4 linked regions of the Drosophila melanogaster genome follow. The protein of the gene in region 2 interacts with the protein of the main gene of each other region in a pairwise test. Each region holds a gene or a part of one and is shown on either strand. Other genes may lie near its edges. The genes, in order: CG5386, spz3, CG13157 and CG8927.

Region 1 (5,860 bases), on a different chromosome or scaffold from region 2:
TTGCAGCATCTCTCTATTTACCCGCTCGCTAATTGTGAATGCCAATCAGGACAGTGCCAGGACCCAGCTGACAAGACAAAGCCAACTGTCTCCGAGCTGTGCTGAGTGCTGGGGCACTGCCATTGGGCTTGTGTATAGGATTGGGTCTGAAAGTGGGATTTGAAGCTGGAATGGGTTGTCTGGAACTGCAAATGGGCCAAAAAGCTGAAGAGCCGGGCTGAGTTCAGCTGGCTGATTGCTCCAATTGCCAGGCGACCGGGCACGCACGGCTGCCTCATACAAACTTGCAACTAAACAGGACTCTGCTACGGGACTACAGGATTCGCTTGGCAGTGGCTGTAGCAGCAGCAGTAACAACAACAACAACAATCGCTTCTGTCAACGCACAAAAGACAGCGCTGACGTAACGAAACGGTTAATTTAGAGTACGACAACGACAACAAACGAAGGCAGTTCAAAAGCCGTCAGCGCGAGATGAGATTAGGTTGCAGATGGGCACAAAGAGAACAACACGGAGCCGAAGCAGCAGCAACAGCACTGGAAAAAATGTAGTGAGACAAAACTACAACAAGCCCGAAAAAAAATGTCCACGCAAAAGCAACTGAAACTGGAGAACTTAATCCAATAGAAAAACGCATTTGAACTGAGAACTTTCTATTGCATTTTAAATCTTACTTTTGAAGTTTCTTTCAGTGTAATAGCGGCAACAACAGCATCATCAGCTTTATGCCATTTGCATAGGGGCGTGTACGAAGTCCGGGATCTGCAATTACAAAGCACCAGCTCGAGATTGGAATGAAGGCTGGCTTGGAATGGAATGGGTATGGTATGGAATGGTATGGGATGGGGTTAGATTTCACGAAGAGATGGGGAAACACTGGATGGGGCTCGAGACTCTAGTCATATAAAACATTTTTTAGTGCGCTCATGCTGGCGAATGTTTAGAATTTAATTAGCCACGCTCCCTGATTATGCGCGCATGAAATTAGAGCCTTCGAATGGAGCTCTATAAAGTGTGTACCAAAGTGCCGATGACAACAAAGGAGTCATCCGTATGCCAGTTTACTCACATCTGCAAGACGTCAGAGGGTCGGAGTCACAACCACATCCAATTCAATTTCAGTTTTGACTGCCAGGACCTACTGCGAACTTCAGATTTGGAAGACTTACTTTGATATTAACAAATACACATTTTTAAACCAGATATGTATGCTGAGAACAATTTTCGACTTCTAGCGAATAGATTGCTGGGTAACTTTCTTTGAGAGTATATGTCCTATTTTAGTAAGTATATTAAAATTTTAGTTAGACACCAAAAGCGTCCCTTCAGTTTACCCGCCACTCTTATTGTTTCGATACCAAGGAATGTCCCAAAGATCTTCCTTTAGATTATAGACCTGCTTTTGAGCCCATCCCCCAACTATTCCGGTCATCAACTTCTTGCGGCTTCGTTGAGTTGACAGGACAAACAATGGGCGACACTTCAGCACTTTCATTTTTCCCGCTCAAACACTTGCGAAAAACACTCCGCCGCAGACTCAACGCTCCGCCACACATACATTTTGCGGATTTTTATTTATTATTTTGCTTCTTTTCTGCGGTGGTGCTGTTGGTGTCGGTGGTGCAGCTCACTCACACAGACGCCCCACAATTTGCGAGTCGCACTCAACGTGAAGTGTTTTGTGCGGTTTTTTCGTGTTGCATGTTTTATATTCGTACACATATATTTTTAGAAATTGTTTTTAGTTGAATGTTTTACTTTTATGCTGAGTTCGGTGACAGCTCGAAACGAGTCCTGGTGGGCGGAGGTCCTGCTAGGCCGGAGCAGGCACGCTGACAAATAAGTCTCATACGTATTGTTCGAGTTCTTTCTGGGCTTTGGGAGATTGGAAGCCAAATCTGGTTACGGATTAGAAAAAAAAATTCTAGAAAAATCTAGAATCTGTTACATCTGTTTATTCAAGGTTATTCAAAATCCTCGAATTTAATAAAGATATTTTCAAAAAAGCCAGTTCACTTTTTTTGCAGTAACTGACACAGCTGCTGCTCTCACATGAATGAATATTGAGTACACACACACACATGTGCACGGCAACCAATACACCCATGCGATCGGCCGCCCCAAAAGTATGCAACACTTTGCCCGACTCTCTATGCGCATCTTTATTAATTATGCCAGCGATTTAATTAAAAACTTAACCAGCTGTCGCCTTGAGCGCCGCAGCACTGAGCAAGGGGATCGTCTCCTGGCCACCCGAAGGAGGCGGACATAGCGCGGGGGGCGTGGCTTTGGGGCTGGCAGGAGCGGCAACTTCCGACGGATTCCTGCCGAGTTGGCAACTTGCTGGCGCTGCAGTTGCCGCAGATGGGTATGGGCTAATTAAAATGCATTGTTTAATGCAAATAATGGATTATATAAGTTGGTAGTTTTCAGTGTTTACTTACGGCGGGTGGCTCTCGACTCGTGGCGCCCAAACGGCTGCAGCTGCGGCTGGCGGCGCCTTAACGACTTTTGGCCCGACTCCTCCATATTGTTGTGCCGTCTGAATTGGCTTTGGCTGGAGACGCAGTTGCTGGCCTGGTTGTTCAGGTTGCACATTGACGCCATTGAACCCGGCCAATATTTGAGGTGGTTGACCCGCGGCGTTTTCATAAACAAAAAAGTGTTGCCCCTGTTCCTGTTGCGGTTGATTTGTGGCCTGTTGTTGCTGCCATTTTGGTTGCTGTTGTTGGTAGTGTTGCTGCTGCTGCTGCCGTGGCTGCTGATGTTTCTGCTGCTGCTGTGGCTGCTGCCAATTTGGCACAGTTTGGCCCAGTAACTCGTGCAACAATGGCGCCAACGCTTCGCTGCCCGTGATTTGTTGCAGATGCTGCTGGAGCGCGGCTTCCTCAATCTTCTGTCCCTCCGCCCGATTGATGCTCAGGATGCCGGTGTTGTGGTGCCTGTAAGCAAATAGTTTGCTCAATAGATTGACCCGCTAACCACCACCCACACACTGGGCGAGATTCATTCCAGCACATTCACACGACCTACTTTGTCAGCGGCTGTGCAAATGTTTGCGAAACAACTCCCAAACAAACCAGCGGCAAGTGGAGCAGAACGAGCCAATTTGGATACATATTTAAAGACTTATTAGTGCCAGAGACCTTCCACTCGAAACTCTCGGTGAGAACTAACTCCGGCTAACTAACTTCACACATCAAATATTCTCCGATGCCATGGATTCTAATTGGGAGATGCTTGCTTTTGCCTAGGCATTCGATTAGGTTTCTTGTTTTCGGGCATTAATTATTTCGAAGCTAATTATACATGCACATTAATATGCAAATATTATGAAGTGTGAACATTTTGATGTGCCCCATTGGTTTCGGTATGATAATTACCAGTTCGGCTTTACAGATCCAACTGGAGGCCCGACAGCGGTTCTCGATTGAGTGGATCTCAATTAGCCGGCTACAAAAAATATGACTAGCTAATTGGCTTAATCAAATAGTAAAAATAAGCTAATAGAAACTAAATAGTAACGTTATACCTCTCTTAAATTGATTAGAATACATTTATTCATCTAAATAGTTTACTTCTTATTGGTAAAGTTTAATATTTTAGCTTTAATAAGAAATATGTTTTTTATAATAAGCTGCCTTTCAGCTGCTGTAAATGCCTCCATAAGTTATATGATTATGTGCTTTCAACAAAAAGGGCTCTTAAACTCAAATCCATAAAACTACGCTTCTCAAACTGTTGCATTAACATACGAGCCATTTCAAAGAGGTGGCCATAAATCCAAGCTAAAATGTCAACCGTCTGGCAGTGACTGTCAAACTGTAAAGTGGCCCTTGGCTTCAGCTCCCATTTTCCGCTCTCCGTGGATGTGTGGCAAAATGTTTTTCCATTAAATTACAATTCCCCTTCTCGGAAAATACCCCCTCCCCTCTACCCCCTCATCATCGGCGGCCTTCGTCGACCAGCAAAGTCATGAAATTTAGTGTTGGCGGCATAATTAGACCATCAATTGCGGAAAACTCATGACAGTCATGAATGGCCGACTGTGTGCATGTGCCTGTGTTGGTGGGCCAAAACCACATGGGCGGGGGGCGTGGCCAGGGGCCTAGGCACACTCTGGAATAAAGTAATATGTGCTCCAAGCATAAACTCATCAGAGTCGGAAAAGCTGACAGAGATGAGAGGACGGCAACAGCAACAAGAGCAGCGCCAACATTACACAGTAAAAAGCAACTTAATTAAAATATCAGTTGAACATCATAATAAACAAGATAGTTTCTATCGAAATATTTGATATATTAAAACCTAAGTAGATGATCAAATGCGAGTTCATAGAATAGAGTAGTAGTATAAACTATTACATACAATTTGAATATTTATTCCAGTGAAGCAATGGCAGCCACAAAGGGCGGCCTGAATTTCAACGATGGACGGGACTGTTGCACACAGAGGCAACAACAACTGGCTGGACTTCAGCAACGATGGCCACAATAAAGTCGGAATGTAAAGCACAAATGCTACTTTGGTTGCTCATAAATATTCACTGGAATGTATTCGTCCTCCTCCGCATTTAGCCGTTGTCCTTGTGGCTTCGCTTTCATTTTCCACCGCTTTTCGGCCGAAAGGCGCAAAAGTGTGAAATGGCCGAGTACGAGAGTGTTCATATATATATATATTTTCTATTTTTATGACGATTTTTCGGTGACTGTTTTAGCCAGCCGAGTGTGAAAGTTAAGCACATAAATTACAGGCGAGCGCCGCCATAGGAATTAAAAGCACCGTGCACAGTGGCCGAAAAACCAGAAAACACTTAAAATATGGCAACAACCGCTCACCCGGGAATCCACCTCTTTGCAGCCACACAGCAGAGGGAAGAAAAACGGGTTCAAACGAATAGTTTGAACTTCTTTAAAGATTCTAATCCAATTTAACAATTTATGCAATATATACTCATTTAGACTTTTAATCTTTGATTGACACTGAGTATGTACGTTCTGTATAACTTAAAATATATTAAACAAAATTCACTTTCGCAGCTCCTATCCTGTCAAACCCAACTGTTTGCATGTGTGTGAAGTGCGGCTCGTTGGCGCTTTTTAGTAAAATTACACGCTCTAATCCACAACTTTTGAGTGGGCCCACACCACCGAAAAGTGTGGAAAAAAAAGGGGCCAGAATCCAGAAAACCCTCTGACGAGTAGGATCTCCCAGGCAGAGATGAAAGGCAACTGCCGAGGGCATCAAGGGCTGCAAGAATGCGCCAGACAGCGCCAAAGACCTAAACGCAAAACAAGCAAAGCTCGCACAAACTCAGGCTGAAAGTATGCAAAACATAATTCATGCTGATGGAATTGTATGCATGAATATATGAGGAGCGCCCCCAAAATCCCAGACTCCAGTGCCCATAACCCCTGGGCTGGCTAAAAATCATATGCATCACGTGATTAAACGCGTCATGCATGAAAATGTAAAATATTGTGCAACCATATAGCTCACAGACAGCGCTGGCGAAAAGGGGGTACCCCCGGCTGGGTTGACTGGCTGCCAGAAGTTAAAAAATACATATAAATATATATGTATATAAAAAAGAAAGGGGAAAAAATTAGACCCCGCACATCATGTTTACTTGACTTGACTGGCAGTCTGGTATCCGTGACCAAAGCAAACGAGAGCAAACAAAACGCCTCGGTTACAAATTTTTCACCATTTTTTCCAGTTTCCCCCCTCCCTGCCTGCCACACCCCCTCTCTGGGGCAGGCTTAAATGGAGAGAAATGGCTGAGATGGAGCCGAATCTGAATCTGATGTTGAGGCTTCCGCTGACGGAGATGAATCTGGGCAGCACGTGCCCCAGACG
Region 2 (10,227 bases):
CGCTTTATGAAAGCAAGCCAATTGTGAATGCCCATTGCGTTTTGGGTGTGTTATAAATTCAGAAAAAAAAAGGAAAAACAATTACTCAAAATATGAAATAATCAATTCATCCTATGTGGGAATTGAACTCATGACTTCCGGACTGAGAGCAGTGAATGAAATTTACTTTGACTTGCCCTAGGCTGAAAGCTCTTGAAAGCTCTACTTTTGTCTCATCGAAATATGACGTAAATACTGGGGCTTTGAGTGTGTGTAGACATCAAGCATCGGTGGTTCAGTGGTAGAATGCTCGCCTGCCACGCGGGCGGCCCGGGTTCGATTCCCGGCCGATGCAAAATAACTATTTTTTTAATTATTTTTCTAAGTTTTTTCTATTGTTTGCATACACTCTGACTTAACTGAAGCATTCCAATTTTAGCAACTCTATTGTTGAAATTTATCAAACAGTCAATAATTGTTTTGGGGTTTCCCCTTCAGTCTTATGGCAATATAATAAATCATGATTTAACTGACCACCTGACATTGTTTCCACCATAGCAAGATTAAGGTAATTGTTACCGATTTTATTGCTTTACATTCTGCCAACCGATTATTACCAATTATTACCAATTATTAAGCAAGGCTATAATTTAAGTAACTTTGTGTTGTTTCTATGTCCTAGTAGATATGTTTTAGTAGATACAATTCCTTCTCTGAACAGTAATCCTAATGGACTTTGCCTTAAGCATTTTTAAATAATTTACAGTCAAATAGAAACCAAAGATTTATCTTTACAATTTAGTATATCCCAAACAGGGCTACCAAATTAGTTATCCCAAGCTAAAAACCTTAGATGCACGCGTGATATTCTAGACTATGTGCTAATTGAAATGCTATAATACAGTGTTCCCAGTCCCAAATTTCATATTTAATATTTGCATAGACTTTATTCACTTGAATCGTTTTACAATTACGTTTATAATTACCGTACAATAAAAATGGAGGCTGAGTAATATCGCATGTTGATGGAGGGGATATAGAGAATAGTGGAGATATACATATGGCTCGGATAAAATCTTAACTATGTGTAGAATTGTTCATAATTAGAGCTACCGATTAGGGCTTACGTAAGGTCTACTTAACAACAACTAAAATACATTCAGTGGCATTCTACCTACAATTACTTGTCTCAATTACATTTATCAATTGTTTATGTATTAATTGCTCAGAGTCAGGTAATCTAGGGATTACATCTACAGACACAGCACGAAGGAAACAGGAACCAATCCATAAAAATGCCCTTGCAATCGTTATCAGGATCGTAGGCGAGTAATCTATGCCATTTGTATTTCTGCTCGCATCCACACTCGCCCTCACATCTTGGAGTTTGGGTATTGCTACAAATAGTAAAAAAAAAAATCATTTCATTATTCGTTTTGTTTACTATTTAGTTAACAGTGTACTAACCTGCAAACCTCCTGGTGAATCGCCTGCTCGAAATGCTGAGTATTTACGATGGCTCTGATCTTACCCGCGGAGTTCGATGCCCAGTACGGTGTGACAATTTCAATCTTCGACTCGCAGGCATCGAGTCTTCCAGTGCCCGAACTACCATTCTTATTTCCCGGTTGCCTATTGGCATTCGTGTTCCCATTGCCACTTCCTCCGGCAGATCCGCCTCTATTTCGACTTCCTCCGGCGGCAGCTTGGCGCTTTTTCCGGAGTTGGCCAAAGTAACTATCTCCGGCTTCGACGGTCTCCCCGGCATTGGCAGCAAATGCTCCCGGGGGTATGAATATATCCGGCTCGTCTATGAAGCGACGCTTTCGCACCTTGCCTTGTTGTCTGCCACCTCCTCCGCCAGGACCCTCCATGTTCATCTCAAAGTCGCCGTACATCCGTCGCATCAGGGCCTTGTTGTCGTCTATGAAACGTTCAATCTTGTCACTAAAAATAAGCAGGTAGTTTAGCTTTGTATAAAATAATTGATTAAGTATTTAAAAGAACTTAATGTTATTTATTTCTTCCAGGTGTACGCCGTAAAATGACGTATTTAATGAATTTATTTTTATAATAACAAAGGAAGTGACCGTATTTAAAATTAAAATACAAAATACTTTGCCAAATCAGGTGATTCACTAAAAAGATTGATCATAAATACTCATTTGAGAAAAATTAATTGATTTGAGAGGGTCCGTAAAGCAGATGAAATGAGGTCAAAACCCACGGTAAATAGTAATTAAAATTTATCTTTAATTAAGAAAATGATATTATTAATTAAAAGAAATTAATATCTTCTTAGCGCAAAATGTTGGGACCCAATGTTAATGAACTTTGGAATGAATATCGTTGAAAGTCACACTTTTTGGATTTGCTTTAAGCCTAGTGATGAAATTCATGGTAATTTTACGTTTCTATGCTAATGAGAACAGTTAACTATGTGATTTTAGAACAGTCATCCGGATTAAATGTGATTCAGATCAGTTTCATTGGGAAAAAAAACTGGTAGAAGAAACCCACAGAAATGCAAACATCCTTGACTTAATCAAGAGAGTTAAAGTTATACGACTGTTCCAAGGGAAATACCAATATACCATTTCCACTCGGGATTTCCCGCAGCCCAAAAATAGAGAACAATGGTTACTTACATGGGATAACTATTGCCGGCCGTGGGGCAAAACAGTTGATGATATCGCTTGATGCACGGCACTCCCTTGATGACATCGCCGCGCACATCCAGTCCCAAAGCCACCGACAAAGCCGTCCACCAGATCTAAATTAACCAGAGATATACGATGGTCAGTCCGGGCGATAAGTATTAACTATTTAGCATTGAAGACGGCAATTGAGTTTCGGCGGGGTACTGAGCCTCAGATTGGAATGGCGACCATAACAAATTATGGCCGGGGTGTGAAAATGACTCAAGTAAGTCATAAACATAAAAGTTCGTTTTATATTCGAAAATAAGAAGATATGAAGGGTGTAGCCGTGGCGGGCGGTGCAGTTTAGAGTTGGATTTTGGGATTAAGCCTACTCGAGTCGCCATGCGAAGATTTTCAATATCAATCTCTCTCTTCTTTCGTCGTCATCAACATCATCACACCTCTTAATGAAACGAACTCGCACGACCTTCGTGCGCAAAAAAACAAAAAAAAAAGGAAAATAAAACCGAAATGAAACACAAAATCGTCAAAGTTATTTCCGCAAATGAACAAACTCGATCGATATCGAGAGTACACTGTAGGAAATCGGGAAAACTAGAACTCACCGAAGACCAAATCAAATTTTTATTATTTTCAATATAAACAGAAATGGGAAGAATAGGTGATGCCTGCTTGTTACTTAAAATTCATAAATGATTTTTGACTCCTACTTTTATTTGCGATCTATATTTTCCGCAGTGTGTCAATTAAAGTGCGCGCGGGCTTAGAACCTCATGCCGGCGAACCTATCGATCCGTACTTACCGGAATCTGTAGGAACGATCCGTTGTTGAGTTTCGGATAGGAGAAGAGCGGCACCACTGGAACCGTCCCGTTCTTCAAGTAAATCGGTCCCTGGATGGGCGTCACTGTGGGCATCTGATTGTTATTCGACTTATCTGTGAACGGAATGTAAATGGATTCGAAAATGAAGTGAAAATGGAAATTGGAGTGCTTTTAAATGGCTGCTGTTTCGGCGGTGATTCATGGCAAGGACGGGGGAATTGCTGTATCCGTGGCCGTTGTCACTGCATTAATCAGCCCGGTTAAACCCAAAAAGAGCTGCCATTGCAACTGCAAGTGCACTCGGTGTCTGCATACAAATCGCACTGCAGTTGACACTTGCATGTATAAATTTCATGTCTGCCTGGCATTTGTAATGCCCAGATCCGGATCTGGGCGCAGACAGAAACTTTCCCTTTTATAGCCATACTGCAGGATGCAAAACGGGTTGCAGAATCCAAAAAAGGGAGCATACAGTGCAAAAACTTATTTCCTCAAAATGTTACTTAAACTAAATGTAATGGAATTGAAGGGTTCTAGACAAGTGGTTTCCTTATTATTATGCTATGACTTTTGAATTATTTAGGTAATTTATAGCTCTCACCGGAAAAATGTCTTACCAAACAAATTTGTCAGATTTAAAATAATATTTAAGAAATATCCTAGTTATTATGTTATGACGTTTTTCTTGATTTCTATACTTTTTTCTCGCAGTGTTCAGATCTCATGTCACTTTCAGCTAATGAGATATATTCTTTGGCAGGTTGTGAAATAGATTCTTTGTTTCTGTGCACTGATCTTTGGTTCAGATCGCATCTTTTATGATATTTTTCTGCCTGCACAAAGGTGAAAACCCAGTGTTGAGTACTTGAGTGCCGCGCCAAGACATCGAGCGACCCAAACTAGTATCTGAGTTTTGGTCTTGCGTGCGCACGTCTTCATATGAGAGCTGGTTCATGAGCTCGGCCCCTTGCCCCTCATTTCGGGAGATTGAAACGCGACTTCTTGCATAATAGCCCCGTAACCGAGTTGAGTACTTGAGGTCTCAAGTCTGGCAGGTTGCTGGCTGGCTAATGCCTCGACAACTCGCAGATTGAGATTCAGATTGAGATGGAGATGGAGAGGCAGAAACAAAGAGGCGCCACAAGCTAGACCGAAAGTGAAACATCCGAAAAAGTGAAGCGCCGCTGACAGTTTTCCAAGAGGACAACAAGGGCAGCAGATTCAGATACGAAGATACGTAGATACTTGAGCCGTTAGATAGACGGTCTTAGATACAGATACACCCCGGCACAACATAAATCGTGATGCGTGCCAGCCTGTTAGTTGCTATAAAATTCAAACACTGGCCATTACTGTCTTGAAAGTGACCTTGCCGATCGGTTTGTAGACCTTTGACCTTGTCGCCGCTCGTTGCTTGTGCGCTGTTTACCCCACAGGTTTGTTATTTGTTATAGTTGCTCGGCGATCTTGTGCAGAAGTTGCTCTCAATTGGAAAGATACACAAAAACAAGTAGCAGGCGAAACCACAGAAATTAACATGACTTTCAGCGCCCGTCTTTCGAATCGTGTGCAAACGTGGGACTCTATGCCGCTTATCTCTGTGAATCTACATACATGCTCTAAATTCACACTACACATATGACTTGACTAAAAGCAAACAATTTAAGCCACCAACATTTGGTTCGTTTTTAATTGTTAATTGTTAAGATTGCCATCTCCGTGAATCAGGAAACACTCGAACTGGAATGTACTCAGAAGAGTGATACGACAAAGTCCGGAGAATTTCTTTTGGATGAATGAGGAAGTGATTCTCGGCCTCTTCAACCAAAGTTCTACATAGATCATACTGTCACATTATTATGCACTTAAATACATTTAATTAACGTCTGCTTGAGTCACTTATTCGTGGGGTAGTTAGGCATTCCAATTGGAAGTGTTTCTTGGTTAACAAGTTGGCATATAGAATTTTAAAAATAATGCACTCCTTAAGCTTAGAACTCAGCTTCCTGTGCTGTTATGCAAATTCATATAAATCCTTTCGATAAATTAATCATTTAATAGTATACTATTTTATTATAAATCTGACCTCGTTCTTTTAAATTCTAATTCCTTAGTTTGTTTCACCTTATAGTAAAATATCCAGTTGGGTACTCACCATTCTCTTGGCCTTCGTAGAACTGTCCTTCCTCCTCTCCGTCCTCCTCCTCATCCTCCTCACCCTCCTCCACGTCGTAGTCTAGAACGGCGTGTACCTGAGTCCTGGATCCCTGACCAGCCTGAACCCGTGTAAATCCTGGTGCTCGTTCCGGATAATTCTCCGGCGGGGCAACTCCGTATGTCTGAGCTGGTTGAGCCTCCGGCTTGGCCTGCCTGGACCTTTGGGGCGGTGGTGCAGGTGGTGGTTGCTGCTGTTGCGATGGCGGTGGTTGTTGCGGCTGCGGTGGCTGCTGCTGCTGCTGCCTGCTGCCAAAGCTGGTAATACTAAAGCTGCCGCTGTTCTTAGTAAAAGTGGCACTGGCACTGCCGTGTGCATTGAAATATTGCTTCTGTTGCGGTTGCTGCTGCTGCGGCGGCTGTGCTTGCTGTCCGGGATAACGGGAGTACGAACCCTCCGCCGGTCCCCGGCCACTCGCATGAGTCTGTGTCAGCTGGATGGAACTTTGGCCCGTGGTGCTGCTCGAACTTGATCTGGAACTGCTGCTCTGGAAGGACACGCTGTTCTCATGCTGATCCTGCTGCTGGTGTTGTTGTTGCGTTTGCTGCTGCTGCGTCTGCTGTACCTGCTGGATGTGGTAAACGGAATTCCGGACAGCATTCGGCGCTGTCGGTGGCAAATAGGCGTTACTCTGCTTGCGTCGTCCAGCTGTATTTTGATATTGATAACCACCCGATTGCGGCGGCGCATAGGGATTGTTCTTGAAGTACTCCGGATCGGCGGCTGCCTCCGCGGGAGTCTGCTGCTGGTGGTCAGCTGGCGAGTAGAGCAGATTATTTGTGTTGCTGGCCAACTGGTGGATTGGATGCAGGGGAGCTATGGTGACTCCCCAGGGCTGGCCCAGGGCACCGAAGGGCAGCGAGAAATTGGTCAGAGCCATGGGCGTGCGAAATATGCTAGCGCTCTCAGTTGGCAAACGAAAGACTTAAGCGACAAACTCGATCCGGACGCGCATGCGACATCATTTAGAACAGATCAGCGCACGGAAATCGATGGCGCGCGCTCTCGAAATTGATTTATGCAAAAATAACAAATCAGTCAGATCAGCTCCCGCTTCCCACCCCTGGCAACAATGGCAAACACACACTGGCAAACACAGAATATTAACACACACACATACGCGTCGATCGGCGGGCTATGTCGTTTATATATATATATGGCGATATTAAGGTATGTGCAAACGATGTTGTTGTTATTAAATAACTTAAGCGCGAACTTTTTGCTTCGGTCCCCGGTCCGCGTGTGTGCTAAAAAACCATTCACGACAAGCTGACAATCGAGACTGAGCCGTTCTCGCCGTGCGCCTTAAAAACAAACTTAATGGGTGGAAAATGTTTCAACTCTCGAAATCTCAAAATCTCCGACTTGAAACATTGCGCTCAGCTCCCTCAATCTCGGAATCTGGCTAAGAGCGAACGCTCGGCGAACTGAGTTGCGTTTTTATCTTTCGTTTTTCGGTTTCTGCTGAATGGCAAATCGAAAAATAAAACAAAACCGGAAAATATTCGATACTGAGCCAATCGAAGAGCAAATGCTCTTAGAGGCGGAGATAAATAAACAAAAATATTAAAAAACTGACATATTTTCAAGTTATACAGAAAAGTTCTCTATTAATTATGGTTTCTAATAAATTTTAGTGAATCACTATTAGCAATATGTTTAAGCGAATTTTTTCATTACTATTACTATAATGTATTAGCAGAATAGTTATAATATAGATCACATAATATTAATGTTTTGTTGATGATTGATGGACTAACCCAATAAATTTAAATAATTTACTTTAATCATCTGAGGGGTTTTAAAAGTGAACCTAAAGTTGTTGACAGTTACCGCATATCAGCATTAAGGTGTTTTATTATATTTGGCTTAATGTTTTAATTAAGAAAAGGGGTTTATCTTCTGGCATAGTTAAAAGCTGGTTTGGATTTTTAAATCGCTTAACTTTATGCGCTGAATTTCCTTTGAAGTGACTTAATTAAAGGAAATCGCATACTAATTAAGTTACGTGCACTTCTGAAATCAATCCAATTCTGGATTGGAGCCAAATACAATTTTGAGTATACCTTTCCTATACCTTCACCGGGGGAATCTTCTTCGACAGGTGCCGACGGCATCCCTCAAAGTGGGATTAGGTTGATGTTAATGAGAACCCCGTTTAGCTGGCATTAGTGACCTAGGTCAATGCCTGGATGCGTCGTCATGGGCTGATATACATTTTAGTGGCTTTTGCCGAGAAACGCATATTAATCACAGTAACCAAACCGAATACGACGTCTGCGCTGTTTTATTTCTCATCGAAGGCAATGAAAAGCAAAAGTATATTTAAAGTGGGCTTTCAAAACTGGTTGTGAAGAGCATCGCGGGTCGATTTGTTACACACATGACTGCCATCCAAAGAGAGTGGCTGGTGGGAGACCCTCCGTAGGGTTCTCCCCATCTCCATGACCATGTCTCTGCGGTTATATTACACTCTCTTAGCCAGGTGAAACAGTGGCCAGTGGCCACAGGGCAGAAGCAACGGGGTTATGCGGCGGTAATTTGAAATGTGTCGAGTGCATCGGGCGATGAGCAAATGGATGGCGGCGATGATGCTATGAATGAATGACTCGGTGTATATTTCATCTAAGCGATGGAGGTGTGGTCGTGTCAACGTCATAGATCTCGGATCAATGCGTCCACTTTGCATATTAGCACCTCGCGAATTGGAGCTCCCAGCATCTAGACAGCCGGAAACGGATGCAACTAATGGATAAAACAGCCTCAACGTGCTATGATCTTATCTTGGACATGATTTTTTCTGGGAAAAACGCCCTTTAATGGTGTCTCCTGTTTGATGGATGAATCAGTTACGAGTGGGGAATTTTTCTGATGTAGGATATGCGGTAATATACTTGGCCTGTGGGTGATTCTCTTGCCCTGGTCCCCTTTTCAGGGTCACACGCGGTGTCTTGAGCCACTTTTCCTTTTTCGCATTCTTACATGCAAATAAGTCACTTAAACTGTAACACTTGGGTTTGGCCAGCTGCTGGTCTGCTCGTTCACTTGGAAAAATTACATAAAAACTGAAAAATTGAAAAGTGTATAAACGGAATTTCGAAAAATGGCAAGTTGAGAAAAACCTTTACATATTTAAATTTACTAATTCGATTAGGGGTACTTCTTCATAAGGTATACGTGCATTCTAGGAACAAGTTTCTTATGAATTGAATTTTTGTATTTTTTCTCAATGTAATGTTGTGTGCTGACCAAGTCATAACCATAACCATGGCCATGGCTAATAGCCAGGCCTTTGTTCTATTGGAGTTGCTGCTGACCAAGCCCAACAAATATCGCATATTTTCATAAAAGCCAGGGACGGAAAGTGAACTATAAAATAAAAAAATTGGCTTAATGTTTATACATATTAAAAGAAAACTTTGAATGTAAACTGTGTGTATAAATCACCAAATCTATACCAAATTTAGAGAATGGATTTTAATTGTCTAAATCGGAAACGTTTTATATTTCAAAAATATTAACTTCCTATCCTTCACGGCACCCCTGGCTGTCTTCCGTTTCCCCAGAAGAACCATTAAAACTGTTTCTAGCTTTTCCCATATGAGGAAGCTAATGATTCATCCAAAACACTGGCACTTCCTGCCCGTCCCTAGTCTCTCACTTCAAACGCTGCAAGCCCAGATGCAATTTGAACCGAACCGATTTCATAAGGCCAGAACAAGTTTGCGCATAGATCAGTTCAAACGAAAAAATTACTTAAGCGTTAGTTATATATTTTTTTTTTTTGCCTTTCCCTTTTCATGCGACAGACATTGAAACTTCTTGGTCGGATTTTGCTGTTGGCTGGCACATGGCGCATAACGAATCCATGGCTCCAAAATCCAATCCGAAACCACTCGACAATCAAATATATTTGACGCGAAATCGAACTGAATCGAGATCTATAAATGACATTCCTTCTAGCGCCTGGACCTGGACATTAAATCGCCCCCGGGGTCTGTCAAAGAGAAGTGAAACAGCGCCGGCAACAATTTGTAGACCTTATCGAAAGGTGGCTCTCGAGCTGTGGCCTTAAGTCGTTAACAAATTTTGACTGCCAATCCGTTGTGCAGCCACAATAAAATAAAACGCCACAAACATCAAGTGTTTGTTGCTGGCTGCCATTGTCGAGGGTTCTGTTTAGGTTTTTACTCGGGGTTTCGGATGTCCAATCCCCGGATCGAAACGAATGACAAAAATGTGGGGGCCCAAGCCACCGATGTTGATCGATTCGATCAGCATAAAAAAAGCTTTAATTAGAACCAATTTAGAGCGTGGACCAATTTATCAGAAGCATTTTGAAAAGTAGTTGAAAACCAGTCGAGAGCAACTTCAGCATTTCCGACGGCGGGTGTTAGGGAGGTGTTGCCGCACATTTCATTATATTGTAGCTCAACATTAGCCGACATATTATTGTTATGGCTTATAAGCCCAACTGAAGTGAACTGAAACAGCAAACTGAAATTGCCATTTACGCATTTGTTTTTCTTTGTCAATTGTTCCACTA
Region 3 (6,927 bases), on a different chromosome or scaffold from region 2:
GATCCCAATAAATTTTATAGTACCTGCGAATGGTTATAATCCCCATTTTATATTTGTTTTTGAGACCGTAAGTTTCGGGTTTCAGAAAGAATACTCCTCTGTGGTATGTTAGGCGTGATAAGCGTAGTCACGAGGATTAATTATTGTGGCACTAACATAATCAAATATAGTTAATTGATTAGATAGAATTACAATATGATTCATGCACGTGTCATCAGCAAACGTTCATCTAATGAATCTTATATTATCTATTGTTATTCCAAAGGAGTCAAAGCGTATTTAAATTTAACATCATCTTATCACTTAAAATTACCGAACCACCTGAGATAACATGAGATATGGAGCCTGGGGCAGATGGTGCTGGTCTTATGTTACTTGAAGTTTTTGATAAATACGATCTATGCTTGCTCAGACGGCCAGAAGTACTTTTGATTTCAGCTGGAAAGGAAAGCTCTAAGCATCAGCATCTATGATGAGCAGCAGGGCGATGCTGCTGGTGCACTGGTGGTGAAGCGTAATGGTTCCTCAATTAACGCCGTGGAGATTGCGGATCATGTGGCAAAGAGACTTCCCTCCATTCAAAAGCAGCTCCATGCTGGTGTCCAGTTTACGGATAAACTACCAGCCAATCCCAATGGAAAGACACTTCGTCGGTTGGCGCGAGAGGATTTCAATGCGAAAAAGGGGTCTGTGAAATAAGATTTCAGTAACCCTCCTGGTAAAATTAAAAATTAACTTATAGTGTCAAATGAGAATTTTGCTGTACAAAATTGTTATATTGTAGATTAAAAACAAGAGAGAATGCTATAGTCCATTTCCCTGACTATCAGATACACCTTACTTGTCTGGAATAAATATATGGGAATTATATTAAAAGGTGTGCCTGGTTCTAGGACAATGATATTATTTATTTATTGCTTTTCTTTAATAGCCAACTTTAGCCATTTCATGATGTGATTTGCACAATAATAGGGTGTTGAAAAACTGAATAGTACTTAAAAAAATAATAAAATAATATTTAATAGTTTTTGCGACGAGAGGAATATATTTCAGTTTAGTAGGTGTGTTAAGCTGACTGTTTTAAATTAAAAGCGTCTTTCGAAACTGCTATAAATTGTAAAATTTGAGACTCAGTGATTTAGTGATTAGTGCGATATAACACAGTGAACGTGTTTACTTGAGCTTCCTTTCAACATTATCAAATCCAACTTTACAATGCTTATCAGCCAATATTCCGGTTTGAAGCTAATGCTTTTGATGGTTGGACTGGGAATGGCATCCTCGTATGAAATTATCAGACAATGTCCTGTACATTTCGTTTTCAAAAATAACTATTGCCAGTATCAGCCCATGTAGGGTTAAGAATTAATAACAAGAAATAAATAATTTCTGAACATTAAAGAATATTGGCTGTTTTAATAACAGCATTGCTTACTACTTTTCGAACTTTGTACTGATTAACAGGAAGGGCGCACTTATTGTCACTTTACAAGGACACTCTATTGCTCAGAGCCCGGCAGCCAACCCATAAATTTGAAAGTTCTTTCCCTTTTAAAACAATTTCACTTGGGTGAGAATGTGGCTGTCATAAATAAATGTAATCATAGTTTGGTTAGGCTTCTGGTAAGCTTAAAAATTAGTCTGGAATATATGTATATATTATACTAAAATCTAAAGCTGTTAAATATTTTCCCTACTTTCCGGTTCTAGGAGATTCTTTTTGCAAAGGTTTCTACAATTGATAATAATGTCGTTACTTTGATGCAATGCTGGCTTTCACAGTTAGGCATCATCTGATATGATCCAATCCAATAAATACATTATGTATATAAAAATAAATTTTGATTGATTCCATACACTCTGACGCTTGACTGATTAGATACGAACAATTCGTAGTAAGCATGATATGCATTCGATTAGATTCAATTTACTGCATTTTTGGATGGGTTATCTTTACACCTCGACTGGATGTCCTACCTAGTTATATAATTATTTCATTACAGTTCTACAACGAATAGTATTTTTCTATGAATGAAATTGTTAATCAAAAAATCCATAGAGATAAGGAATGCTTAAGAATTCATTATCTACATAAGTGCAGGTCGTTATCAGCTTTTGTTTACGCCTTCGACTAATCGACTAAAGGTAGGATACGAAAAAAGGTAGATTAGAGAGTTATTCTAAATTCATTGAAATATATGAAAAATATATTCTTCTTAGAGATAAACAAGTTGATGACCCATCAATTTCCACCCAAAATAAAAAAACAGCTGAAGTGAATTGTATGGGTTGGCTTAGGTTTAATTGTTAAGTAAGTGTAATTAGCGAATAGCCCCTGAGTTGTGTTAAGGTCAAGTGATACTAAATTTAAATACTATTTTCTCGCCGGAAGCTCCAAGCAATAACGAGGAGCACCGCGAGCGTGCCAAGTGATCTTTGCGGGGATCCGGCGCCGGAATCACTCGGTATAGCCACTTGGGTTGGCTGTATATCCATATCTGCATCTAGTATCTCCTGCTGCCTCGTCACCTGTTCTACCTGCGGACGAGCATGACCAGGACGTATCTCCACCTTGGGAAGGGGGAAGCAGTAGACCCTTTCGACCTCCACCAACTGGGGCACAATGCTGTCGGAGGAAAGCGAAGTTTCCGAGACGGTGAGAGGCACACATATGGTTGGCTCCTCAGAGGCATTTCGATCCTCGTAAGGAATGCCCACCCGGGTTATATTCAGCGGCACGGTCTCTGGAACACTCAGTTCGCTGTGCATCTGGGCGGAGTTTAGAGAATCCTCGTAGTACTTGTATTCGTCCACAGGATCAGAGACGCTCTCGTCGCGCCGGTCAATGCTCCCCTGAATGCTCCCATCTATCCTTTCGGTGCTCACCGTAAGGGATGTGCTATCGATGAAATCAGTGGGCCAATTCAATAGACCCGCAGTGGATCTAGTGGGCTGTGTGGGAACCGGTGGATGCACCACCGAGGATTGCATAAATCCTGGTACCACGGAGCTCGTTGCAGGTGGAGCTGGCATTGTGGTATCGTAAGGATACGGATACGGCAGGGGCAACCAGTTGTCGTCGGCGGAATTCTTGGAATTCCTTCGATTGTCCGTCGTCGTCTCCACGGACTCGTTGATCTGCTTGGATATTGCCTTCAATATGGGTTCCGAATCGTTGACCCTGGCCAACTCGAATTGTTGTGGCACCTGCTGAGTACTGATGCGCCGGCGTCCATATTTCTCTGCTGAACTTTCACGACTGACTGGTCGGGAATAGGCAGGATTCTGGTAGCCACCAGGGGCAATAGGAGCGGACAGCTCTTCGCTGGAACTTGATGGCTTGGCATCAATAGCTGCGGCATAGAAGTATTTGAGACATGAGCAAACAATTTCGAAACAGAGACCAAATTAAACGCTACATGAAGATCTTTTTAAAAAGATGTTTAGGTTTCAATATAGTTATCATTAATATAAATCAATAACATTAGAGATTAATAATTCAGGTTATTGAAAATATATTTAACCTATTAAATAAAAGACTAAGCAGACTTTAGTTTCATTAAATTCTAGCAGCGTTTGCTTGTTTTTAATGATACTTATATTAATAGGAAATTCACATTCGAAGTTGAATTCTTACCATCTGCCGGCAATCCCATGAGCATGGCTTCCAGGCGTCCGTAGACCCGCTCCTTGGGCTGCGGTTCCGAATCGATTTTCGTGTCCACCTTCTCGGGCCTCTCCGGATGCTCTGGCTTCCAGTTGCCGTACACCACCGCCTCCTGACTGGGCGTGGCCGGCAGGGGGGCGGTCTCCTCGCGCCACAGTGGAATGTGGGTGTGCACAGTGGAACTGATGGGGCCTGCAGCCGGCACAATTGGCCAGTTTCCCAATGCCTGAGCAGGTGCTCCGCCGACTGAAACGGGATTTTGCATATCCGCAATGCGTATACGCCCCCTGGGACGGGGAGGACCCTGCAGCTGCTGTGTGGCAATTAGCTGGCAGCCACTGAGGGCTATCAGCGACCACAGTAGACACTCTTTCCAATGACTAACCATATTTAAATTGAACACGTCTATCTTCTTTTTTTGCAGATGCTGTGCTACTTTTCAATTTTACAGTTCGTTTTTATAGGTTTATTGATTCATTCTCGTTTTCAGCAGCCACAATAACAATCTATTGTTTAATTTTTGGCTTCTGCTATTTTTTCTTTGACGTTGCTTCGATGTCAATGTAATATTCACATCTACAGTTCTTCACATCTTCACTTTTCTGTCGATCAACCACTTCACTTCCCCATTTCTTTTCACTCCCCACAAACAAATATTTGTATTATCGCTACCAGTTTTCGGTGTAACGCTCTTGCGAATTCGATCTTCAGCTTTCTTATAGATATTGTATATTGTAGAGGAAGTATCTCTTTTGCTGGCGATTTGCGATCTGCACGCGACGGCTTGTAAACGGCAACTGAGTTGGCCAAATCAATTCCAGCACCGCACAGGCCCACAAGAAAGATTCTTTCTAATCACGGGCCATAGAAATTTTCCTTTGTTCGGCTTCGTTATTATATGGTTTTTTTTTCGTCTTAATTATGCGCAAGAGCGTTGAAACTTAATGGCGAATAAACATTCTTCGGGGCCCCGCTTTCGGGGTCTGTTTCTACGGCGGTGGTGAAAATGCAGCGGATTTGATTTATATTCAGCTAGAAATAACCGCAGAGTATAGTCAGTGTGTTTACGTTATATGCAAATATGTTAGGTGGCCAAATCGTTTGCCGTTTTGTGGCCCAAAAGGTTATTCGGTTGTTTGTTCTTTCAACCTGATGACAGTGGTTTTTGGTTTCAATATTTGCGTAGCCAAGGGCTACTCCATTCGAAATGCCAAACGGTAAAGGTAGCCTACGTTAAATACAATAATTGGCAGAACGAAGAGGTTTCTCGGCGCGAAATCGGGGCTACGCCAGTAACCCATTCGTGGACCACTTCAACTGGCTTCCTCAGCCTTTCCACATGCAACGCCTGCCCGCGAAGACAAGTCGAATGGCACTGGAAAATCTGTCGTAATTATGCAACTGGCAACCAGTCGAGAGACTCCTCTCGAAAGAAAATTTCCATGGCGGCGATGTAGAAATATGGAAAATTGGAAAACCCAACCTGCATGGAATGGGATCAACAAACTAACGTAATTCGATCTGCGAAGTAAATAATAAAGCAACGAAAGATGCACGGTAAATGGGGAAATACTTTGAGAAAATAATGAGGACCCATAAACGCTTTGTCACGTTTGTCTGAACATCGTGGATATGGTCAGCTGTAAAACGGAAAAAAATAATGCCAGAAAATATGGTAAGTCCATCATCAAGTCGGTTCGGCATAATGGAAACGTTAGTTTACTTTTATTGTTTCAAAGCAGCGAAACTTTCACACTCGTTAATAAAATATTATTAATTTGATTGAGCGCCCCTGTCTGTTGGTTTTATGGTACTTAGTGGGAAATTCAAAAGTTATTAAACGATTATCATTCAGTGTGGTACAGCGATTTGGATTTGGAAGAGCTTGCAGAATGAAATCACAGTCTTGTTGTTGTTGATATAGAATGCGAAGAAGTTACGTTTCCAGGATCATCGGTTCGGTGGGGGAATGGAATGGGCGGAGCTCGTCTATTGGTTCTCCAGCAGACCGATGTACTGGCCATTCTGGTTGGCCACGCGTCGCTCCTCCAGTTTCCTCGCAAAGTCTGGATCTGTCTTGGCCCTCTGCTCCAGACGCTCCTGCTGCAGTTTAATGCCAGCGTAGATCTGATCCAAACCCTTCTGTATCTCCTCGGGAATAGCCGGCGGAGTAGGAATGTGATCACCTGTGGCCCTGAATCCATTCTCGTCGGCCGTGTACTGCACATTGACCAGAGTTCCCTCGGGGGATTGGTAGGAGTACTGGCCATGCTGAACCAACACCCCATTTGGATTGGTGTCGAAGTCCTTGAGGAAACCGGTTTCCTCATGAATGATGCTATTGCCCGTCTCGTATTCTGTCTTGTAGCTTCCATCGTCACTCTGCTCCTTGTTGTACTTGATTATGGGTATCCAGGTGCTGGTCTCTCTGTGATCTTCATGACGATGATGATCTGGTTTGTCATCGCGTGGTATGTTGTTCACATTTTGGTGCTGATGTTGATGGTGGTGTTGTCCTTGGCAGGAAATGGCCAACAGCACAAGAAGTATCTGAAAGGATAAATATTAGCTTAAGCTTACTAACACATGCAAGTCATTACGATTTCCAAACAAAGTAATCACAAAAAAGAATATTTAATCCTATCCTTTAGATGTAATGTAAACCAATAAATTTTATATTTGAGAAGATCGAACTGTTGCAATGTTTGCCAATCATTCATCGAGAATCACTTGACCGATTTTATGTGATTGGTTATGTGAACCACTTACGAGCACTTTCATTTCGCAAGGAGTCTCTGCCGCTTATCCACTGTATTCCACTGATTTGGCCCGCTTTGTCGCCCGTTTGGCTGGCACTGATCGCACTGGCTAGTGAAAGCAGCTCCGTTAGACACTGTGCCAAGCGCGGCCCTATTTTGGTCTTATATAGGCGATTCGCTCTGCTCCGACCCGATCCGATCCTCCTGTTGCACTCGTGTCCATACCCACACAGGTGAGCCTCCATGGGAGAGCGTGCATTTGCTATTTCTGCTGGTGATGGAGTTTCTAATGGAGATGAAGTTGCAGATGGATATGCAGTTGCAGTTGCCGATGAAGATGGGAGGGGATGGGAGTGGAAGTGGAATTTGCCATGGAAGCTCTTATTTTTTGTTAGCTGTCTGATCCGACCGATCGGTAATTGTTGTTCGTAGGCTCGACGACGCTTAAATGCTAAAATCGTAAAAAAAAAAACAATTCACTGTCGCTCTCGTTTGAGGCTT
Region 4 (9,991 bases), on a different chromosome or scaffold from region 2:
GGGCTGGAAGGACGAGTGTTCCTTTGACCATGACAATTTGAGTGGGATTCATTTTCTAATTGTCATTTATATGCAGCTTTGTCCGTGAATCGTTGGACTAACAGCTGCATTTGCGTTCGCATTTGTCCTGCTCTCTGGCCCGGCTGCGATTTTAATTGACTTTACACTCTTATTTACGTGCCCGACCTTGCCACTGACATTCCGCACCCAACCCACCCCACCCCTTGGGCCAACCCTTTTTGGCCACCGCCTGCATGGGTTCTCTGCTCTCCGTTGCAGGTGGAATTTTGGCCTTCTCAACATCGGTGGCCATGTTCATGTCGCTACGTGTTATAATTGGATTCGCATCAATGACCGTGACTGTTGTGAGCTTCGTGCTGGTGGTGGAGCTGGTCTCCGGCAAGTGGCGCACCGTAATCGGCATTCTCAACATTCTGCCCGTGGCCATCTCCTACGTCCTCTCCGCCGGACTGGCCTACCTCATCCGCGACTGGCGGCACCTCCAGCTGGCCATCTCCTGGCCATGGCTAATCATGCTCAGCATTTGGTAAGTTCTGCGCGGGCATCCTGGGTGGGGCAGTGCCATTGTTGGGCGTTTATTTGGTAATTGGAAAATCGGCTGAAGGGAAATCGAGGTCTCTTTATGCATTTTGCTTTGAGCTCTGATTTGTATCAATGGCTAAATGATATTTATTTACGAAATTTGTTTATTAATTAAACTCATGTATTTCCTTCCTGTAATTAACAAGTCATTTTATTATTATTAGCCATATTTTAAAGACATTTTTACATAATTCATGACCTTTAATTTTTTCTATTCTATTTTCTATACAAATCAATATAAATAACAGTGCTACTTTAAAGGCAAAAAAAAAAACTTAAATCTATTAAAAATCCGCTTACTGGAGAATTGAAAGCCCAAATGAACGCATTTCAACTTCAAAGCGTAAACATTTTTAGCAGTCAGTCAACTAAATGAATTGACAAGATAAAACCGTACACAACACACAATTGGTCGGATCAATTAGATTCCGGCAGGGACAAAGAAACCGTGTCCAGGACATTCCTCAGTGTTTATCCTCGGGTGCCAAGCAGGCCACAGAGAGCCACATTAGCTGACCGCCTTAGAAATGAAATGAAAAAATTCCTAAAAGCCAATAAATACCGGGATCATGACATTGATTCTCACAGCAACCCTACCCATTCGCTCCCATTCCTTTTTAGGTTCTGGCTGCCGGAGTCTCCACGCTGGCTTTTGGCCCAGGGCCGGCTGGACGAGCTGTGCGGGCTAATTGAGCGAGCGGCCCGAATGAATGGCACCAGCGCCAGTTTGCCCAGCAACTATCGCAAGACCCTCGAGGCGGCTGTACCGCGGGCGGTCCAATCTCCACCAGAAGCAACGACCAGCGTAGAGTCGAAGGCAGTGGAGGCAGATGCACCGGATCCAAGTGCAAGTGGCCATGTGAATCCCCTTCTGGTGGTATTCAGTGCAAAGTACTGGCGCACCACATGTTTAACCCTGGTCATCTGGCTGACACTGATCATCATTTACTTTGGACTCACGTTGCACCTCAGCAATTTGGGTGGCAATATCTACATCAATAGTGCCGTGGCTGGAACCGTGGAGGCCATCTCCATTTGCATTAGCATCCTGGTGGTCTTGAAAGTGGGAATCCGACGTAGTCTTATTGGTTACATGTTGTTGCCGGGTCTTTGCTGCTTAGCCACCAATTTGGTGTCAAATCAAACGGGTGTGATTGCACTGGCCACCATAGGTAAGTTGTACCCTAACATCTTTGACAACAACAATCTGTAAATGACCTAGTGTCACCCAGCCAAGTGTCTCATTGGAGCCAACAACGCCATCATTCCCACCTACACAGCGATGCAATATCCCACAATAGTTCGAAACTTTGGCGTTGGCATGGGCAACCTGGCATCGGGCATTGCCCTAATCCTTGTTCCCTTTCTCTGGAAACTGGTGGGTCCTCAAATCGTTTACCTGTGTGGTCTTCATTTTACCAATCTGATTTCCCCTCTTCACAGGAGCACATTGATCCCCTGCTGCCCTTGAATGTTATGGGAGTTTGTGGCCTGATTGGCGCCGTTGCCATCAGCCTTATGAAGGATGTGGTCTAACCAAGAGCTGCAATAGGAATTGGTATTTTAAAAGAAATCAGAGCTGATTTTCCGTTTTGACATGCCTAACTGTGATATTTATTGGACCTTTGGGGACATTGCGCACCCACACTAAATCGTTTCTTCTCATTCCACCATTAACACGGATTTTATATTGTTGATACATGATTTTATTTATACCTTCATTGCATTAAAAACAAAGTATTTTTATTAAATGCTAAATTAATTTGTATTTTGTAGTACTGGGTGTTTCGGAATATAAAAACAATATAAAAGGTTATAAACGATTAATTCTTTAAAGATCTAAATAAAACGTTCCTATAAAGAGATGCTATAATACGGCGGGTTTGAAGCCTGTCTAACTGTAGCACTTAGCCGATGCATCAACCATTGCGCATACGCTCCGTTGGTATGACTTTAGTTTGGTTGGTCTTAACTTAAAGCTTGGTGTCAAGCGTTGCCAGCGCACTGAATAATAAATACAAAACCGTTAAAGGCGGTAAAAGTAATTTAAAACTATATCACGTTCCCGGAGCTGTTCGAGACCAACCATTCTCATGTCCACAAAAGAGTGCAAAAAAAGTAAATACCAGACTGCCCTGTCACTTTCGTTACTTCATCGAGAGATGCGCTCCACTTTTGGCCCGGCCATTAATTGCATATCCATGCCAAACACACGCCGCACATAAATTTTCCGCTGCTGGCCAAAGCTCCGATTGGCGTTGGAGCTGGAGCTATAAAGCCGCCTGCGCACCTGGCGTGCCCAGCATTTCAGTGATCAACGGTTGGCCAAAAAGTACTACCTAGGTTTACCGTGTGGATAAAATTATTCTCCCCAAATAGTGCCTTCTTTTCGCTTTGCGGAAGTGTTACAAAGGGACAGGAAAGTTAAAAGGAGATTACCCGTCCAGATCAACCATGAAGATCCAACTAATTGCGGTAAGTTGGAAACCAGAGGAAGGATCAAAAGTGTTAGTGTTCTCGGTCATGTCACCACCTCAGCATGTTAGTGAATCATAAATATGCAGCTGTCAAGGTCGTTTGGTTGCCAGCTTAAGGCTCATACTCGATCTTAGATTGAGACATTGCTGGATATTTACGAGTATTTGCATTTAATAGAAAGTGCGCGAGTTGTGTTTACCTTTACCTGTGTCTCAATGCAATGCAATTAGCAATTAATGCTGGCCAATTGACATTTCATTTCGTTTGGCATCATAAAACTTAAGATCGATTTGAACAAAGGAACTCGTATCATAAATAGGCGATACAATCACCCAGATATTGTGTTTTCACTGTTTGCCAAAGAATTCCGTTTGAGGAATTACCAAACCAAGCCCTCGGGTCTGAAATTTTAACGAGCATTTGTTGGCTTAAAGCCCAGCTCCGCCTTAACTTTGCAAAATTCCCCCGGCCTCCATTATTAACCTGAATATTGGGCTCTCAAAATGGGCACACAATTGGCTTAAGTTTAATTTGTTATGCTGTCAAAGATTATCAAAGATCTTTGCTACCGCGCAAAGTTGATGAATTGTCAATTAGGTGATAGATAAATTATATTACTTGCGATACAATAAACAAAATCAATCAAAATAAGCTGGCGATGGAAGCCATTCCATAATATAACTTGCTATTCACAAAAAATTTAAGGTTAATTTTTAAGCTATAGACTGAGCTTTGCAAACGTCAAGTAAATAAAAACGACAAACTATAAATAAAAATAGGTGTTCCGAAAATACCAGATATAAAAAATTATAACTTTGTATATAAATATCAATTTTAAATGAAACTTCTATATCGACTATTTCCCTAAATTTCCGAAATAAATCTGGAAAACACCATAAATCAGCGGTTCCAATTAGATTTTCATGCTTTTGCTTGATTGATTGATTGACTTGGCCAAATTACGGACATGGCCTAATGAGCTTGCCAAAATTTGGACCAGAAAATGAATTGTTAATGACAAGAAAGACATAATTTACAGGAGTATTGTTTGGGAGCAGTTCGTCACGATACCATTTTTGTGCTAGCCCCGATTATGTGTATCAAGGTCGTTGGTGGTGCCGCAGCTAATAACTAGTTATGGGCGATTGGGATCCACAAAACGCACCCAAGGCGATGCAAATTCTCGGCACGCACGCTCCATTCATTTTTCAGTGGCTGTCGCTGCTGCAGATTCAGATTCAGATACAGCTACAGCTACAGATACAGATACTTGCCCACACTGCGACGCATTTGGGCGTACTGTGCTGGGATTACGTAATGGACGGGTATATGGGAATATATGTATGCCTGCATAAATAAGGCTTTTATACATGCATAAAGTGTTACATATTTGAGACCGAAGCCGGCTCGAAAGTGCACTGACAACTATTCCAGCGCAACGAGTCCAGCGAGCTACAAAAAAAAAATGCCCGGTCGGAATAGGACATATTTTCGATTTCATTCGGCTGCTCATTCGATTCGTTCGTTCGGTCAATGGCCATTGGACAGTCAAGGCCGGGACAGAAGTCCTTAGCCAAGTTATTGTTACTAATGATGAACCCACGGGAGTGGGGGGTCCGCATAATAAACATCTTTTGTTGTCTTTCACTGATGCTTACGACGATGATGATGGTGATGGTTCGCCAAAGGAACACCCACGTTTGCCTTCAGCTCCACCTGGGCTTGGCTTGACTTCACCTGGCTGGGTTTCAATTTGGGTCTCGAGCTGGGAACACCTTCCACTACGAACATTTATTTACACATGGCTACGAAATTTTCGGTTTCCTTGAACTGAGACGCAGACGCAAGGCGGAGTCATAAAAGCAATTAAATCAAATCAAGTTCCCCTGCCGAGCAATGCACCCAAAATAAATAGCTGCAAGTGTCTACCAGGCCTTGCGCAGTTTTATACACTTATACAATTTTTTTTTTGCTTTATCTGGCCTGGCTTTTATTAATTTTTAAGCCAAGTAGTTCACTTGACCAGGTAGTTGGGCAGCCAGCCAAGCCGCTGGCCACTGGAATGTTCGGCTTGAATGGCTGAATGGTTCCCCCACACACACACACACACATCAAACGATCAAAAAACAAAGCCGTAGCTCAGATACAGGAAAGTAATGGATAATAATAGTAAAAAATGTGTCGACTGCATGCATAACAAAATCTGCATGAGCCGAAGGCTTCATTGATTCGATTGATTATTATAAGCCGTAATAGTTATTTATGTTTGAACAATTGAATTATGTGCGAGAGTTAAGATTAAAACTGGGTTTATAGGTACTAGGAAATAGTTACTTAATAACTAACTTAATGGAATACTAGTTTTATAAGGAGCAGTCATATATGAACTTGATTTTATTTAAAAAGTTCTTGTCCACTAAAATGAATTCTAAATAAATCAAAACAAATAAAGCAACAAAAGTTTTGAAAGAATAATAATTCCACAAAAAAAAAAAACATCATTTCAATAAATAACCCTACTCAAGTTTCCAATCCTGTCAAGAACCCAAATGGAAACCGTAATTCCGTATCGAGTTTTATTCACTTCCCCAATCATTAATTCTTTTATATAAGCTACCTCGCCCAAGTGGGCCAAATTGTTATCTGATCTGTGACCAGATGGAAACCGAAACCGAGGGCGAAAAGCCATAAGCCGGCTAAAAATGCCCCTCCACCCGGTCTCACAATTATGCAACTACGGCGAATACTAATTAAAAGTTGTCGCACTGAAAATCGTGCTAGCATTAAGTATACGACTAAGCGGTCGGTCATTTGTCCTAGACTTTGACTTCTTTCGCGAACCGGAAACTTTTGGCCAATGTGCTTGCCACATGCTACATGCCGCATAACTCCGTCCATGCAAATTACGCAACCCAGACGCCAAAGTCTGAAATGTTTTCGTTTTTTTCTGCTTTTGGCTATGGCTCAGCTTGTTTTGGCTTTGGTTTCGGCTTTTATGATCGATCGGCAGCGAGGCGGGGCAGAAATCGCGATTTGTTTTATGTTCCACATTTACAGCCATTACACAGTACTGCCACAGTTGTTGTTGCTGCTGCTGCTGCTGTGGTTGTTGCCACCGCCACACCGTTACAACTACAAATTGCTGCGGCAGTTGTTCATAAGCGGTTGATAAATTTGAAACCAGTTTACGAAGGTGCGAGTTGTGCAGTTAGCCAAGAAGTGCCACAAAAGTCAGGCTGCAAGTGTGGTGCTTTTTACGAACCCCGAATTCGATTTAATTAGTAGTGCTAAAGACAAAGTTTGAGAAATGTTTGGAATATACATATTGTATATATATACATATACATATATGTCAATGAAAATAAGGCTACAGCCAAAAATAACTAACAATAATAAAAGCAATTTTTAAAGAGAAATGTATTACTTCTTGTAATGCACATACGTATCCTTCAAATTCCATAATTGTTTTTGGTCTTCTTGTGAACTCATTGACCAATTGGGTTTTAACTGAATGTACCAAATTCTTTGCTGTTTTCCACCCCCAAATCGGATGAAAATTCTAAGAAACCGTTGGACAAGCAGCATGCCAAAAATGAGCGTGTAAAACTAATTTCTTAAGAGGGGCAGTGCCAAAAGCGAATCAACAGTTAGTGGCAACGCGGTGGCCAAAGCGGTGGGAACGCCTTGTTCCGGCAACTGGCACAGTTGATCCCCATTTGGAATGCACTAATGACATACATTTTTCCCTTCCGATTCCAGCTCGTTTGCAGCGCGATCGCGTTGACAGAGGCCCAAAACTATCCCCCGCGTCTGAGCATTCCCGGAGCGGTAGCATCACCTGGTCAAGTGCCCCACCGACAGCCTGTGTTGAGAGTACGCCGTCCAGGAGCCTCATTGCGCCAGCAGAATACCATACTTCCAGCGGTGACGCAGCGCATCGCCATTGAGGAACCGCGTCCTGTGACGGAATCAGCGGAGGATGAGCAGCCGGAGCCATATCTGCCGAACCTTCTGCGGGAACAGCAGTTGGCTCAGGCCCAACAATCACAGTTCCAGCAGGCAGCAGCCGCCTTCCTGGCCGGCCAACAACCCGTTGAACAACCCTCGCCGGTGCAGCAGTTCCTTCAGTCCGATGACTCACAGCCGGCTGCCATCCTGCCTCCTCCTTCCTCGCGCTTCCCCGCTGAACGGCCATCTATTCCGACGCCCCTGAACCGTCCCGCCGCCTTCAATGATTTTGGCATTGGTCGGTTTGAGAACTCGCAGAGATTCGGATTGGAGCGACCTACGCCCACTGCAGCAGCGCCACCACCACCGCAACAACAGCCCCAGCGGGTGGCTGTGATCCGAACAAGACCAGCGTCTTCCGCTGCCCTACGACCTGAATCACCACCACCACAGCCTATGGCCAGGCCACGCCCTAAGCCTGTCCAGCCGCGTCCCATCATTGATCAAAATCAGCTACAGGACGATCACGTTGACCAGCAGCAGCAGCGTCGCCGTCAGCCCGTTTCCCAGACCATTCGCAAGTGGCGTGAGGAAAACGAGGACGGAAGCATCACATGGGGCTATGAGAACGACGACGGATCTTTCAAGGAGGAGCTGATCGGCACCGATTGCATCACCAAGTGAGTAAAACAGATTGAATCCAACCTCTTTCTCCCACTTACCCAAACTTCTCGTTCACCAGGGGAACCTATGGCTACGTTGATCCAGATGGCAACAAACGTGAGTACCACTATGAGACTGGAATCAAGTGCGATCCTAACAACCGCAACAACGAGGAAGAGCTACAAGAGAACGGGTTCGTCAACTACGAAGAGAATCGCGCCGTGCTGCCCAATGGTCTGGAGATCGACATGACGCAGTTGGGCAAGAAGAAGTCGAAGCGCCCGAACGGCTTTTACAGGAACTGATACTCCCCACAACATATAGTCCCTTAAGTCAAGCAGCTCGTAGTTCGTCTTACTTGTATTCCACTTATAATTATGTTCATACTCCATTGAGTGTCAAGTGAAAGATTAAAATGATTAGAATAGATGAAAGTGAAGAATCAGTACGGACGCTGGCGCCTGGCGGTTGGCGGCAGTCGGTTGGGCGGAGTAATCGAGATGTCCAGAAAGTCTCCAATGCTGAATTTGGCCTGAGCAAGTGTCTTATTATCATCGATTCCTTTTTGACCCGTGCAGGTCACTCCGATTTCGCGCATCTGGAAGTGATTACTCCGGAAGTTGGGGTACACGACAGCAAAGTCAAAGTAGGTGCCCTTCTTCCGGGTGTCCGGATTGACGTCTCGCACCAGAGAGGTCAGTTCGTGCAGGGTGGCGTCTTGCCAGGTGTAAATCTGAAGCTCGTTGGTGGGCACGTTGCCGAACATATACTCCGACACGGAGTGGTGTCGTCCCGTAGAGCAGAAGACACGGAGCAGCATAGGACAGGTCTGGAAAATACATAAACTTATTAACACATCTAGAGCAAACGCGAAGTAAACATGACCGGGGTCACAAACAAACCTTCTCGCGGTCAATCTGCTTGACCTGCGTCTTTTCCTCCACAATCATAGATTCCACGTTGGCCATGTCTCCCTATTCTGCGGTATATCGTTACTAATTTTCTTAATTTTAATACAAAATGCACTTTTAATGCCGTATATTCCGGCTTCTCTTTGCTCTTTTCGATAACTATATAATCGAATGCAGCAATCCTATCGCACATCGCCGAGTGTGACCGCTTGTCGCATACTTATCGGGTTTTAGTTTAATCGATGTTTCCAGAAGCACCAAAATTCGCCGTTTCTCAGCTCTAGTCCGAAAACAAAATTCGCTGTGAGCGGTTGTGTCGTCGAACGTGAAACTACGCGTCTCCGCGAATGACGCAGACTGGAAGCTTCCACTGGCATGACAATCGTCTAAAAACATTCAACAATAGCGGTGCACTTGCAAATTACTGTTGCCGCAACAACAATAACAACTGCTTCGCTAAGCAGTAGCTGCGACCACAACAACAAGGAGGAGAGCAACAACAACGGTGGAGAAGAGCCGTTTGTTATTGGCGCATAAAAGCAGAATCGCAATTTGGCCACTGAATAGTTTCTAAAAACGGTGAGTACATTGTGGCAGCGGTCCATTTGCATACCGAATTGAGATTTGCACTTTTTGCAAGAGTTTCTTATGTAACGGCAACAGCAGCAGCAGCAGCAGCTGAGTTTTACGTGCAAATTGTTGCCGTTGCTTTGCTTGTGTTGGTGCCGCAGCGTCTGCGAAAAGTCACCCTCTTTGCAACCACCCTTCACCCCCCCTCATATTTCATTTATGCATCGCTCTCTCGCTCGATTTGTTTATAAACATTCAGGAATAAGCCGCTGCTAAATACTGAACTGTTTTTATCTCAAGAAGTACAAGGTTATCCCATCCCCAGCCACCCACTTTCGATCTCCTCATTTTTATGCATGCGCCATCATTTGCCGATAATAGTGCCATTCTGTTTGTTGTTCTAAATGTTCTAGTTATTGCAGTAGCGTGGAAGGTGTGGTCATATGGTGGTTTCTATTGTGTCAACAAGGAATCAGTTTCCCAAAAGCTGCATATTTGTTTTTATTTTTAGTCAAATACCAAGAAATAAGTCAATCCAGACATTTGATATTTTTAGAAACGGAATAAACCCCGTTTAAGTGCACAGAAACAGAATCTGTGATTACCCTGGTAAAAGAAAAACACTAGAAGGGGAAAATACCCCACTTGAATTAACCCCCTGCTAAAGGGTATTTTCGCTTCGGCGTGTCTGAATATTTTTAGTTGGCTCGTGTTTTAAAGTCCTCGAATCCACTCCCACCTCGTTGATCCTGCAGCAGCTGTTTTTGCCACAGTTCCTGCTGCTCTTGCGTGGGAGCAGAATGTTTGTTGTTCCTGCT

What was found.
Region 1: the proteins of spz3 (region 2) and CG5386 interact in a two-hybrid assay, tested with the Drosophila melanogaster proteins (one large-scale study listed by BioGRID).
Region 3: the proteins of spz3 (region 2) and CG13157 interact in a two-hybrid assay, tested with the Drosophila melanogaster proteins (one large-scale study listed by BioGRID).
Region 4: the proteins of spz3 (region 2) and CG8927 interact in a two-hybrid assay, tested with the Drosophila melanogaster proteins (one large-scale study listed by BioGRID).

The regions. Positions count from the first base shown.
Region 1 is NT_033777.3:22,339,095-22,344,954, forward strand, and holds CG5386 (uncharacterized protein), read right to left. Parts: upstream 3,158-5,860; 5' UTR 3,121-3,157; coding exon 3,035-3,120; intron 2,944-3,034; coding exon 2,446-2,943; intron 2,377-2,445; coding exon 2,196-2,376; 3' UTR 2,142-2,195; downstream 1-2,141.
Region 2 is NT_033779.5:7,872,586-7,882,812, forward strand, and holds spz3 (spatzle 3), read right to left. Parts: upstream 6,968-10,227; 5' UTR 6,562-6,967; coding exon 5,622-6,561; intron 3,580-5,621; coding exon 3,446-3,579; intron 2,753-3,445; coding exon 2,628-2,752; intron 1,927-2,627; coding exon 1,447-1,926; intron 1,377-1,446; coding exon 1,220-1,376; 3' UTR 910-1,219; downstream 1-909. UniProt on the Drosophila melanogaster protein: Neurotrophin which may function as a ligand to the Toll-related receptor Tollo. Involved in a Tollo and JNK signaling pathway that positively regulates neuromuscular junction (NMJ) growth in presynaptic motorneurons.
Region 3 is NT_033778.4:12,413,583-12,420,509, reverse strand, and holds CG13157 (uncharacterized protein), read right to left. Parts: upstream 4,467-6,927; 5' UTR 4,056-4,466; coding exon 3,638-4,055; intron 3,354-3,637; coding exon 2,368-3,353; 3' UTR 2,279-2,367; downstream 1-2,278. Other genes in the region: CG42782 (uncharacterized protein), read left to right, coding at 1,216-1,356; Cpr49Ah (cuticular protein 49Ah), read right to left, coding at 5,657-6,217, 6,437-6,448.
Region 4 is NT_033777.3:16,178,118-16,188,108, forward strand, and holds CG8927 (uncharacterized protein), read left to right. Parts: upstream 1-2,902; 5' UTR 2,903-3,057; coding exon 3,058-3,078; intron 3,079-6,840; coding exon 6,841-7,709; coding exon of another isoform or gene 7,710-7,713; exon of another isoform or gene 7,714-7,771; coding exon 7,772-7,997; 3' UTR 7,998-8,118; downstream 8,119-9,991. Other genes in the region: CG8925 (uncharacterized protein), read left to right, coding at 280-547, 1,225-1,775, 1,836-1,981, 2,047-2,139; Bin1 (bicoid interacting protein 1), read right to left, coding at 8,135-8,521, 8,595-8,660.